Linked DNA regions of Canis lupus familiaris. The protein of the gene in region 3 interacts with the protein of the main gene of each other region in a pairwise test. Links are inferred from orthologs where the notes say so. Each region holds a gene or a part of one and is shown on either strand. Other genes may lie near its edges.

Region 1 (3,748 bases), on a different chromosome or scaffold from region 3:
AAATATTCTAAAACGCAATTCTGTACTTTTACTTAAAAAATCATTGCATTGTGCAGTTACAATGGGTGAATTTTATGGTATATAAATTATCAATAAAAGTTGCTAAGAGAGGGGATCCCTGGGTGGCTCAGTGGTTTGGCGCCTGCCTTTGGCCCAGGGCGCGATCCTGGAGTCCCGGGATCGAGTCCCACATCGAGCTCCCGACATGGAGCCTGCTTCTCCCTCTCTGTCTCTCTCTCTCATAAATAAATAAATGTTAAAAAAAAAAAAAAGTTGCTAAGAGAAAAACAAAACAAAGAGGAGTAGAACTTGGGGTTACAGGTATCTACTTAGGCCTCATATAATTATTGGAAAGTGAGGAGAGTAGGAAAAATGAGCTGGGTCCTAAGTGACACTGTACATTCATAGACACATAAGCAATTCACTTTTTAGAGCACAGCTGTTGTGTTCTCTGCTTCAAGATCAAGCGATCCCTTCTTATCCCTCAAGGACAAAGGTCACTCCCTCTTTGTGCACAACCAATTCTTATACATTCTTCTTCACTGCACCCATTACATTAAGCTGAAACTGTTTTGGTGTCTGCTTCCTGGACTAGAACTATAAAATCCCTTCAGGACAAGGACAGTATCTTCCTCATCTCTGTAGCTCTGATGCCCAGCCATCCTGGGTACTGAGCAGGTATCAATGAATGTTTGTCAAATTAGTGAAAGGAAAATTGGGGTGTGTTTGGGGGAGGATTTGTATCAAACAAGTTTGAAATTATGAGGCAGAAAGAGGGCCCATATTAATTTAGGAGTCAGACTAGACTAGTTTTTAAATTGGAGAAGCATACAAAAGGGCATAGGTCTGTGTACCACCCCAAATGTAAACATACCTTCCTTGGATGTGGCCAAAATTCCATTTTATTCCAGGGTAATCAGTTCACAAGCAATACATTAAACTTTCCAAGATTAGTCTGCTCACCAAGTAAACAAATTATCTGATTTCCCTATAGATTACTTGACAGGATTAGCACAGGCCAAACAGTTCTTGTACTTCTGGCTAAGAGTTAAGCAGCTAACTGCTAAGGACTATGAAAGAGGTCACACAACCAAGTCAGGCCAGCTTTTACCATCCTCCTCTATCTCCACTTTACCCAGTGCCAGGTCAAATGCAGAGCAAGCTGGGAAGCTTTCAGCCCAGAAGTGGCCTCTCCTGTATCCTGTTCTCCACAACTTTGGCACAAGCATGGGATACAAAGAAGCTGGAGCCAAAGTATACTCTGGCCAGTTTCTCAGTCTCCCGGCCCTCACCTCATAAAAAGGACCCAGGCAGTTGAGACCAGACACCTAGAAACAGGGGTAAATCAGGTTCAAGACACCAAGGCCAGGAGGAACATAGGGTTAAGAAGACCTTCTGGACGGGCAGCCCGGGTGGCTCAGCGGTTTAGTGCCGCCTGCAGCCCAAGGTGTGATCCTGGAGACCTGGGATCGAGTCCCACGTCGGGGTCCCTGCGTGGAGCCTGCTTCTCTCTCTACCCCTCTCTCTCTGTGTCTCTCATGAATAAATAAATCTTAAAAAAAAAAAAATCTTAAATGTTTAAAAAAAAAAAAAAGAAGACCTTCTGGAGTCCTTGGCAGTGTGGGGTATGAGAGAAAGGATGCAAAGGAGGCAAGGGACATAGGGGTGGGGGAACCTGTGGACTGGGACGATGGAGTCTGTGAGAAATGGTGGGGGGCTAGTAGTCTGGCGGGGAAGGCTCCGTGGGTCTCCGAGAAGGGATGGATAGGAATGAAAGTCGTTTAAGAAGAGTTGAAGAAGAGCTGCGCTCTGGTGGGTGAGAATGGAGGGACCGGAGTACGAGAGGGGCCTTGACCATTTAAGCCCGGAGACCTCATTCCTGTGGTGCTGCGGCCTCAATTTTCGGGGTGCCTGGCCCATGGTACCCAGGCCCTGCTGGGGTGCACGAGTCCAGGAGTCCCGGGGCGCGTCACGCAAGGGGGCGGGCCGGGCGCCAGGGGGTGTGACCGGAGACCCGGGGGCTGTCCGTGCTCCCGCCCCGCGCTCCCGCCCCTCCCCGTGAAATGAGCGGGCGGTTGAACTCGCTGCCTCTGAGGTCCCCGGACTCACCTTCCTCCCTCCCCACTGGTTGGGCCCCGGACACTGCTTCCCAGAGGCGGCGCGCCCTCTCGCGGTCGAAGCGCAGCCCGTCCGGTTCCCGTCCTTCTCGTTCCTCGGAGCTGTTGTATGGCCGGGCCCCTCCACTGTCCGCGGCCTCTACGGTGCCCAACCCGCGATACTCCATCTTTCCAGCAAGCCCTAACCGGCCGATAGTCACTCATAAACCTTGGTCTCGCGAGATGTGGGACGTTGCCCGGCCAACAAATCTCGCGAGGTTTGGGCTCTGCGGACCGCCTTGCGGTAGGGGGCCCACACGCTTCTCTTTGGTCGCTGCTGGGGGTTCTCGGAGTGTGTGCTGTGGAATTGAAAGTCAGTCTCTGGTTTAACAGCAGCCCCCTCCCTCTGGTACAGGTTCGTGCAGTCTTAAGCCAAAGGTTTTCACCTTGCTCACTGTCAGCCTTCAACACTTCTCATTTCATTCTCTTGAAGGCCCTTGTTATGTGGGAACACTTTCTCCATTTTACTTAGGGAAACTGAGGCCCAGAACCTAGAAATAGTCGACTCAACAGTTTGCTACCAGGATGTGGTAGAGTCAGGACTCCATCTGCATGATTGGTTTACTGCTGATAATAAATAATACCATTTGAGTTTCAAGTTCTAACTCCCAGAGCAGACCTCCCCCTTAAACTCTCCCAATGTGACTGTCGGATCCAAAATTTCATCTTCCATCCCCACAACTCCTCCTCCCCGAGTCTTGGGGAGCCATCATCTCTTGCCAAGGTTATTGTAGCGTCTTCACTGGTCCTTTCCCTTGCCCTTCAGGTATTCGAAGCACAGCAGCCCCAGCAATCCTCTTAAAACAAGCCGCATCATGATACCCTGATGCTCCTATTCTTCAACAGTTTACCATCTCGCTCTTGGTAAAAGCCAAAGTCTTAGTCTAGCCAAAGGGCTCTATACAGTCCAACTCCCCTAACCTCCCTGTCTCATCCTTTATTGTGTTACTCTCCAACACCTTCATTATTGTGCCAGTTACCATGACCTGGAATGCATTTCCCCCGTATATCCTCAGGGCTCAGCCTCTCATTTCATTCTCTGATTACCCTATCTAAAATTTAACACCTCCACACATATTTCATGTCCTTCTTTCCTGCTTTATTATTTTTTTCCTTCTTAACACTTAACATTATCAGATATAGTATGTTTTTACTTTTTAACCTTGTTTTTTCTTTGTTTCCCCACTAGTAGTCATACCCCAAGAAAGAGATTTTTGTCTATTTTGTTCTCAGTTGAATCCCCAGCATCTTGAAATAGAACCTGGGCTCTCATAGGTACATACAAAATATTTGTTGAATGAATGAAAATGAAACTTTTAATATAATTATCATATTTCAACTTCATTTATTCAAATGCTTATTGAGAGTTTACTATGAGTTAGATGTTATCTTGGGCATTGGAATACAGTTGTGGACAGGGAAGCTCTAGTATAGTGTTTTTTTTTTTTTTTTCTAGTGGAGGAGAGTGTAATAAGTCAACAGATAGTAATAAGTGCTAAGGAGAAAATAAAACAGGAATATATATTGGGTGAATGACGTGGAAGGAATATTACTCACTGAATAATAAAGCCTCTGAATAAATGACATTTTAT
Region 2 (3,508 bases), on a different chromosome or scaffold from region 3:
AGAGGACTCTCATAGGCAGCCGCCCAGGACTACAGGCCTACTGAGAAAGCAGCACTTCTCAAACCGTCTTGAACAGGATCACCTGGGGCTCTGCCAAAATGCAGAGTTGGGACTCAGGAGCACGAGGCCTGGGACTCTGCATTTATAACAGGCTCTAGGGCAGGAGGAGCTGCTCTCAGCCACACTCAGAGAACAGCAGAGTAATATGTGGCCACAAAACAAAAAGTCATCAACTCTCTCCCCAAACGGTCACATTTTAGTGATTGTGGTGTGAGCTTGAACGAATGACTTTCCTTCCTTCTTTGTAGGGTTGTTTTAAGAACAGTGTGTATTAGATTTTATTTTATTTATTATTTTTTAAATTTTTTAAAAAAGATTTTATTTATTTATTCATGAGAGACACAGAGAGAGAGAGAGAGAGGCAGAGACACAGGCAGAGGGAGAAGCAGGCTCCACGCAGGGAGTCCGATGTGGGACTCGACCCCGGGACTCCAGGATCATGCCCTGGGCTGAAGGCAGGGGCTAAACCGCTGAGCCACCCGGGCTTCCCCCCTGTATTAGATTTTAAAAGCAAGCATAACAGGGTGGTATCAAAAAAAAGGCATCACTCTGGTTCTTGGTTAAGAGAACATTTATTTACAATTATAAGCACACCCACTTGCTATGGTACCACTGCTCCCCACATTCATTACAGATCACATAGGTCATCATCTCCTCATCTGGATTTGAATTCCGTACCCAACTTGGAAGGAAAAGTGTGCCTCTGGCGATTACGGTGACCTTGCAATTGAACTTCTCACAGCGTCTGCATTTTATTTTTCTTGTGTGTGTGCCCTCGATCGCTTGGGGAAGGTGATGCTCCTGTATGCAAGATTCCGTGTAGGAGGCTCTCAACTGCTTCAGTTCCTTGTTTGCCATTTCCATCACAGTCATCTTGGCAAATTCTCTCGGAGACATGGTCCCAGAGAGCAGGTTTTGTTGTAAGTGAGAATTTTTGGGGTTCCTCAGATTGGCAACTTTGCTTCTCACACAAGTTTTGTATTTTTTGAGGTTCTTGGAATGAAGGGTAAAAATGTGCTCTTCAATTTCTCTTGCAAAGTTTCGCCACAAATCAGCTTTGGGCTGCTCTGTGAAAGGACTAGTTAAAGCTTCATAAAGAAGCTCTGTGCATTTAGCTCTCACAGGTACCATGGGATCCAGCAACTCACTGGATCTCTGGGCAGTGGATTTAGGGTCACCACTCCTGAAATGCTCCTCCTTAGGTTCCGTCTGACTTGTGCTATTTTCAGGCACAATCATTTCAAAGGCTTCTGCAACACTGTGGGATGAAGAATTAGAGCTGGAGCCGCCTGATAGCTCATCCTGACTTGGGTCATGAGAAAGTCTTGAGTTTTCTTCATTTCTACCCGTAGGGAAAGATTTGTCCCTCGGTTTGAAGTGGAGATCCTTTTTATAAAGAGCTTTCCATTCTGACAGCAAGTGCTTGGCTTTCTTTTTCAAAGCCACCGAGGGGCAGTGTTTGAGGACTCTGTACACAGCCCTGACCACAATGGTCTCCTGGAGATCTTCTTTCGTCACACACAGAGTCTCCAGGTCAGTAAGGTGGTTGCCAAGATCCTCAAAATTCCTTTTAGACAGCAGTTGCTCAATAAGGGAGGCGCTGGCAGCTATCTGGTTCTTGTCAGACATCTTTACAGCTGCAAGGAAAAGAGAAAAGAGGTTTCTGGTTTTTTCAAGCTTGTGTTTGCCAGTCAAACTTCCTGATAATAGCAGGGCACTTTCTGCCAACTACCTATGTGGTGTTTTCTGAAAGAGTTGTGTAACACAAGTGGGTGTGACCTGTTAGAAAATGGAATCTGCAATGTGGTATGGTTTAGTTTCAAAAGGCTGAGTCTCAGTAGTTGGAAAAAGAAAAAAAAAGCGGCACTGTAACCAGCTTCCGCATTAACGGTTGCTTAAAAGAAGCTTGTTGGAAGAGCTCTATAACTTTTTCCATCCCAAATTTTACAGATTAATAGTCTTTCTGGATCTAGATGGGTCAGTTGCTTTGGATGGAATTTGGTGGTCACATTGGGCATGAGATCATGCCAGTGTCAGCATCAACAGGGTAAGTGAGCAAGGCTGGCCCATTTCTTCCCATATTCAGTTATAAAGCTGAACTACTTGTGGATTTTATCATCTTTAATTGGTACTTTTCTGAATATACAAGAATGAGAAACAGGGCAATAAGGGGATGCTATTTAGATGTTCCAAGGAATGTGACAAAATCATGAGATAATAGAGGCTACAAAGCAGCTGGAGCCAGATCTGATAAGCCCGAAGAGCCAATAGGCACTGTGCTGACATCCGAGTCTTCTGAAAAACAGGGTAAGCATTCAGACTAAGCAATCTGGACATTTTATGACTTTGGACCAACTAGTCGTAGGCCAGTTTGGTTCCATTAACTTTTTTGTTTAGCTTCTAGGTGTAAAAAGTTGTTTGATGATTATATCTGTGTGAATCTCATCCCAGGCAGGTGTTTATCTAACCATTCTATTTTTCTCTCCTCATAATGTACATAACCTTGCTACCTAATACCCTTGTACCTACATCTGCTCATCTGGTCTAAAAATGGACATATGCATCTTGATGCCATGGACCGTGTCTTTTCAAAAACTCATGGGCTTCCATTTTATAGCACTTGATATTAAATGCCCATCACTGGGTCCCCTGGGTGGCTCAGTCGGTTGGGCATCTGACTCTTGGTTTTGGCTCAGGTCATGCATGGTCTCAGGGTCATGGGATAGAGCCCATCTTAGGCTCTGCCCTTAGTGAGGGAGTCTGCTGGACTCCCTCTCCCTCCCCCTTTGCCGCTTGCACATGCACTCTCTCTAAATACATAAATAAATAAAATCTTAAAAAAAAAAAAGCCCATCACTAAGCACATAGGCTAATAACACCGAAGGGAGCACAGAGAAGATCAATGCAGCCTTCTTATTTTTTATTTTTTAATGCAGCCTTCTTAGAAACCATATGACAAGTTCTGTAAAATGCAATGTTCTTTTAGTCAGCAATTCTACTTCTGTAAGTTTACATTAGGGAAACAAAAGATGTGGAAGCTGTACATGTAAGAATTTTCTTCAAACTTTGAAGCAACTGCAAGGTCCCAAATGGCTAAACTTGCACACAAAATGTGCACAGCAGCATTATTCTTAATAGCCAAAAAGTAGAAACAACCTGAATGTCTGTCAACTGATAGATAAACATGTAGCCTATCCATACAATAGAATGATATTTGGCCAAAAAAAAAAAAAAGAAATTCTGATATATACTACAACATGGATGAACCTCGAAAACACTATGTCAAAAACACAGAAGACCACATATTGTATGATTCCATTTATATGAAATGTCCAGAATTGGCAAATCTATAGAGATGGAAAATAGACTGGTAGTTGACTAGGACTGGGGCAGAGGGATGAGGGGGGCAGTGGGGTGGAATGAAAGGGGGGTGGCTGTCAACAAGTAC
Region 3 (3,748 bases):
TGGCGCGGCTCCCCCTGCCTTGCCGAGCCAGCCAGCCGCCCTGCCCGTCGCCGTCACCACTCCGGCTCTACCCAATTGGAATCCGCCGAGCCTAGTGCCCGAGCTCCTCAGCGCCGTTCCGGGGCTCCCCCGGCTCTCCACTACCTGGCCCAGCCTCGGGACGCTCGTTAGAACCAGGCATTTTCGTGGTGTCTCGCCAAGGTCACGAGATTCTCCTACATCTTTGAACCCGGTGGCCGGGACACCCTAGGGAGGAGGGGCTGCAGCTCTGCACCCAGTTAGCGGGTTAGCGTTCAGAGGCCGGAGTCCTCTCCTGCTGTCTCTTCGGCCGAGAGACCCCAGACCCACAGCCGCGGGAACGAGACCACGGTGTGCGTGAGTCCTAATGCTGTCGCCCCTACAGCCCGATTCTCAGGCCCCAGAGAGGGTCCCGGGCCACCTACGGAGAGGTTCCCTGGGGACGGCCCAGCAAGGCTTTAGAGAAGACCTGAAACCAGACAGGCTGCGGGCCAGAACTAGGGGCAGGGAATGAAGGGCAACCCGGGAACACGAAGCAGGGGCTGTGAGACGAAGGCCCCGGGGCCGGGAGCGAGGAGGAACTGCGGGCCGCCGGCCGGCCGGCCCCAGCGCGGAGGGGCTCGAGCGCTCTCCTCCCGCGGCCAGGTGAGGCCACCCCCAGCCCGCGCCGAGCCAGGGTGCGACAGCCCCTCTTCCCTGGACCAATCGCAGCCTTTCCTCAACAAAGGGGCGGGGCCGAGGGGCTGCCTCGCTCCTGGCCCCGCCCCTCGAGGCTCAGTAACCAATCGCAACGTGCCTAGAGCGAGCCAGCGCAATCGGACACGACCAATCCTATCGCGGAGCTCTCCGCGCACGCCTGCGCCTGCCCCTGCGCGGCGACAAAGATGGCGCGCGAGCTGCCGGTCTCTGTAGTTTCCTCGGGAGCCTGCGGACCCGGCGCTCCGGTTAGGCCTTAGCGCCCCGCCCCCAGCCGCTTCCGCTCTGCTCCCGCGCATGCCCACTCCGGGGAGCGGAGACGCGGAAAAGAGGCGGGACGCTATTTAAAAAAAAAAAAAAATTCACACGCACAGACACACGGACACACGGACACAAAGCCACCCTCCGCTCGGGAGGCCACCGTGGAAGGCTCCGCTCCTCCCAGGAGGCGGTGCCGCATCCCCGGGCGACGCCCGCGGGGGCTTGTGGGGCGGGCGGCTCCCCTCCCGATGGAGACTCGGGGAGGCGGGTGGGCGGGGGACTCCATGTCCCGGCATGCCCCGCGGCGGGCCCGACCGGCCGCGACTCGGGGCTCGGCCCCGGCCCTAGCTCGTCGGCGGTGTTCTGGGGCGCGCGGAGGCTGCAGTCACGGTGGGGCCCGCGGGCACGGAGGTGGGAATGAGTGAAGAGGAGCAGGGCTCCGGCACCACCACGGGCTGCGGGCTGCCCAGGTGAGCCGCTTCGAGCCGACCCCTGCCGGGCGAGAAGCGTGGCGCGGCGCGGAGGTGGTAGCGGCGCGGCCCCAGCATGCACCTGGCCCGAGGGTTGTTCCCGGCAAGCACCGGGGTAGTGGGCCGTGGTTCCCGGCATGCACCCCGGCAGTGGCCACGGCCTCCTGCTCTAAATAGTTTGGGGTTGGCCCGGTTCCCAGACTGCACTTGGGGCACTGGGCTTTGTGCTCCCGACATTCAGTGCGTTTGGTGGGTACCGGGTCCCTGGGCTGCACTGTGTGGGGACATGCACCTCCTAACTGCACTGGGGTGCAGGATCCTCCTCCTGCTTAACTGAGACAGGAACAGTGCGTTGCCCGCGTGCTCTGGGGGCCGTGGACCCGGCTTCCAGCCCGCTTCTACTCCACACTGAACCCAGCCAATGTGTGCTGTACTGCCCGGGGTCCCCTGGACCCGTGTCCCCCCATAGTGTGCCTGGGTCTGATACGACAGTGCTTGGCCGGGTGGGCGCAGAGTTGGAGGTGTGATAAGGGTCCGTGACCCCCTGCCCCCGCCTCCCCCAGTATAGAGCAAATGCTGGCAGCCAACCCGGGCAAGACCCCGATCAGCCTTCTGCAGGAGTATGGGACCAGAATAGGGAAGACGCCCGTGTACGACCTTCTCAAAGCCGAGGGCCAAGCCCACCAGCCTAATTTCACCTTCCGGGTCACCGTTGGCGACACCAGCTGCACTGGTGAGGAAGGCTTGGGCAGCCTGGCTGGGGTGTGCATCCGCAGGGCCCTGGTGGCTTTGTGTCCTGGAGTCTCTCCCCAGTCCTTTGCTCCAAGGCCAGTGAGGGAAGGAGAGATTTCAGGGGGAAAAGCCACGGACTCGTTTGGGGGAACGGGTCTTTGAGGAGGCGGGTAGGACTCCGGAGAGTTAGAGGAGCAAGCAGGACCGCCAGAGGGGTCTGGCACATTGTCGTCATCCTAGAGGAGAAAGACGGGATGAACCAAACTCTCAGCGAAGTTTCGAAGGAGTGAGTGCCTGCTGCACTGGGCTCTGTTCCAGGTGCTTGACCAAATTCCTAGTTCGTCTTAAATCGCAGTCTAATCCAGGGATGTGGGGGATAGCACCTCCGAGCTGAATATGAGGGAGCCAAGGCTCGGGGTGGATGTGAGTGGTGCAAGGTCCCGGGCCTGAGAAGTGGCGGAGCGGGGCCTTGACTCCGGAGCCTGCCCTCTTTCTACTTTCCCAGACATCTCTATGTATTGAGAGAAAAGAAAGCACTTCCCAGAGGCAAGGAGAGCCGGGAAAGCGTCTCTGCCCAGGGTGTCTGAGCTCCAGAGCAGTCGTGCCTGGCGTGGCTTGATTTGGGGAGCTCTGGGGAGCAGAAGCCCTCCCTTCTAGTAATTAGCGCAGCACTTCCGGTCTTGGGCAGGGGCAGGTGGTGAGAGGGGCTTGGTTGACTCCCTCCAGCCCTGAGGAGAGAAGCTGTGGGTGCCGGCTTTTCTGTCCTCCTAGTGACCTCCAGTATCGCCCACGCCCCTCTCTCAGGTCAGGGCCCCAGCAAGAAGGCAGCCAAGCACAAGGCAGCTGAGGTGGCCCTCAAACACCTCAAAGGGGGGAGCATGCTGGAGCCGGCCCTGGAGGACAGCAGGTGAGGGAGGACCAGCCGAGGCCTCGTAGAGACCCGGCCAGGAACCCAGGCCCCTGCGCTACCTCCTCTGCCCACCTTGACCTGGCCGGACAGGGCGGGATGCTTCCAGGGCTCCCGCTGTTGTGAAGGATCCTGTGGGGGGATGTCAAGGGGCTGTGGCTGTGGTGTGGGCCCAGGCTAGGGAGGGAAAGGGGCGGAGGCTGAGGCTAGAGGGGTCGCACCCCAACACGCCTCCTCTCTCTAGCAGGTTGTCCTCCCCTCTTGCACACTTACATTGGGGTTTGTTGCCTCCGTGGCTCTTGTGTAGGAAGAGACCGTCTTTCCCCTTGTCTCAGTCGCTTTGATCCAGTGTTTGGCAGCAAAGGATCCCAGAAGGTGGTGGTTAAGCTTCCCTGAGTCTTTGGCTCCAGTGGGAAGGGGTTTTCTTAGGGGACGGGCAGGTCAGGAGGACCTGGGTCCCCACCCTCTACTCCCCACCCCACCCCTGCCCACATGGGTGTGAATCAAAGGCCCCCTTCCCCTCGGGAAGTTCTTTTTCTCCCCTAGACTCTTCACTGCCTGAGGACATTCCAGTTTTTACTGCTGCAGCGGCTGCTACTCCTGTTCCATCTGCTGTTCCAACCAGGTATCTTGTGTTCCTGCCTGCCTGAAGGGGGGAGGTAGG

What was found.
Region 1: the proteins of TARBP2 (region 3) and ZNF346 interact in binary tests that used the Homo sapiens proteins (3 or more experiments, as listed by UniProt). The two-hybrid records come from large-scale screens. The link is inferred for Canis lupus familiaris from reciprocal best matches to the Homo sapiens genes TARBP2 and ZNF346.
Region 2: the proteins of TARBP2 (region 3) and TCEANC interact in binary tests that used the Homo sapiens proteins (3 or more experiments, as listed by UniProt). The two-hybrid records come from large-scale screens. The link is inferred for Canis lupus familiaris from reciprocal best matches to the Homo sapiens genes TARBP2 and TCEANC.

The regions. Positions count from the first base shown.
Region 1 is NC_049225.1:37,188,170-37,191,917, forward strand, and holds the start of ZNF346 (zinc finger protein 346), read right to left. Parts: upstream 2,332-3,748; 5' UTR 2,285-2,331; coding exon 2,110-2,284; intron 1-2,109.
Region 2 is NC_049260.1:10,120,663-10,124,170, reverse strand, and holds the end of TCEANC (transcription elongation factor A N-terminal and central domain-containing protein), read right to left. Parts: intron 1,698-3,508; 5' UTR 1,690-1,697; coding exon 643-1,689; 3' UTR 614-642; downstream 1-613.
Region 3 is NC_049248.1:44,930,872-44,934,619, forward strand, and holds the start of TARBP2 (RISC-loading complex subunit TARBP2), read left to right. Parts: upstream 1-1,107; 5' UTR 1,108-1,392; coding exon 1,393-1,445; intron 1,446-1,536; exon of another isoform or gene 1,537-1,694; intron 1,695-2,008; coding exon 2,009-2,178; intron 2,179-2,981; coding exon 2,982-3,084; intron 3,085-3,613; coding exon 3,614-3,709; intron 3,710-3,748. UniProt on the Homo sapiens protein: Required for formation of the RNA induced silencing complex (RISC). Component of the RISC loading complex (RLC), also known as the micro-RNA (miRNA) loading complex (miRLC), which is composed of DICER1, AGO2 and TARBP2.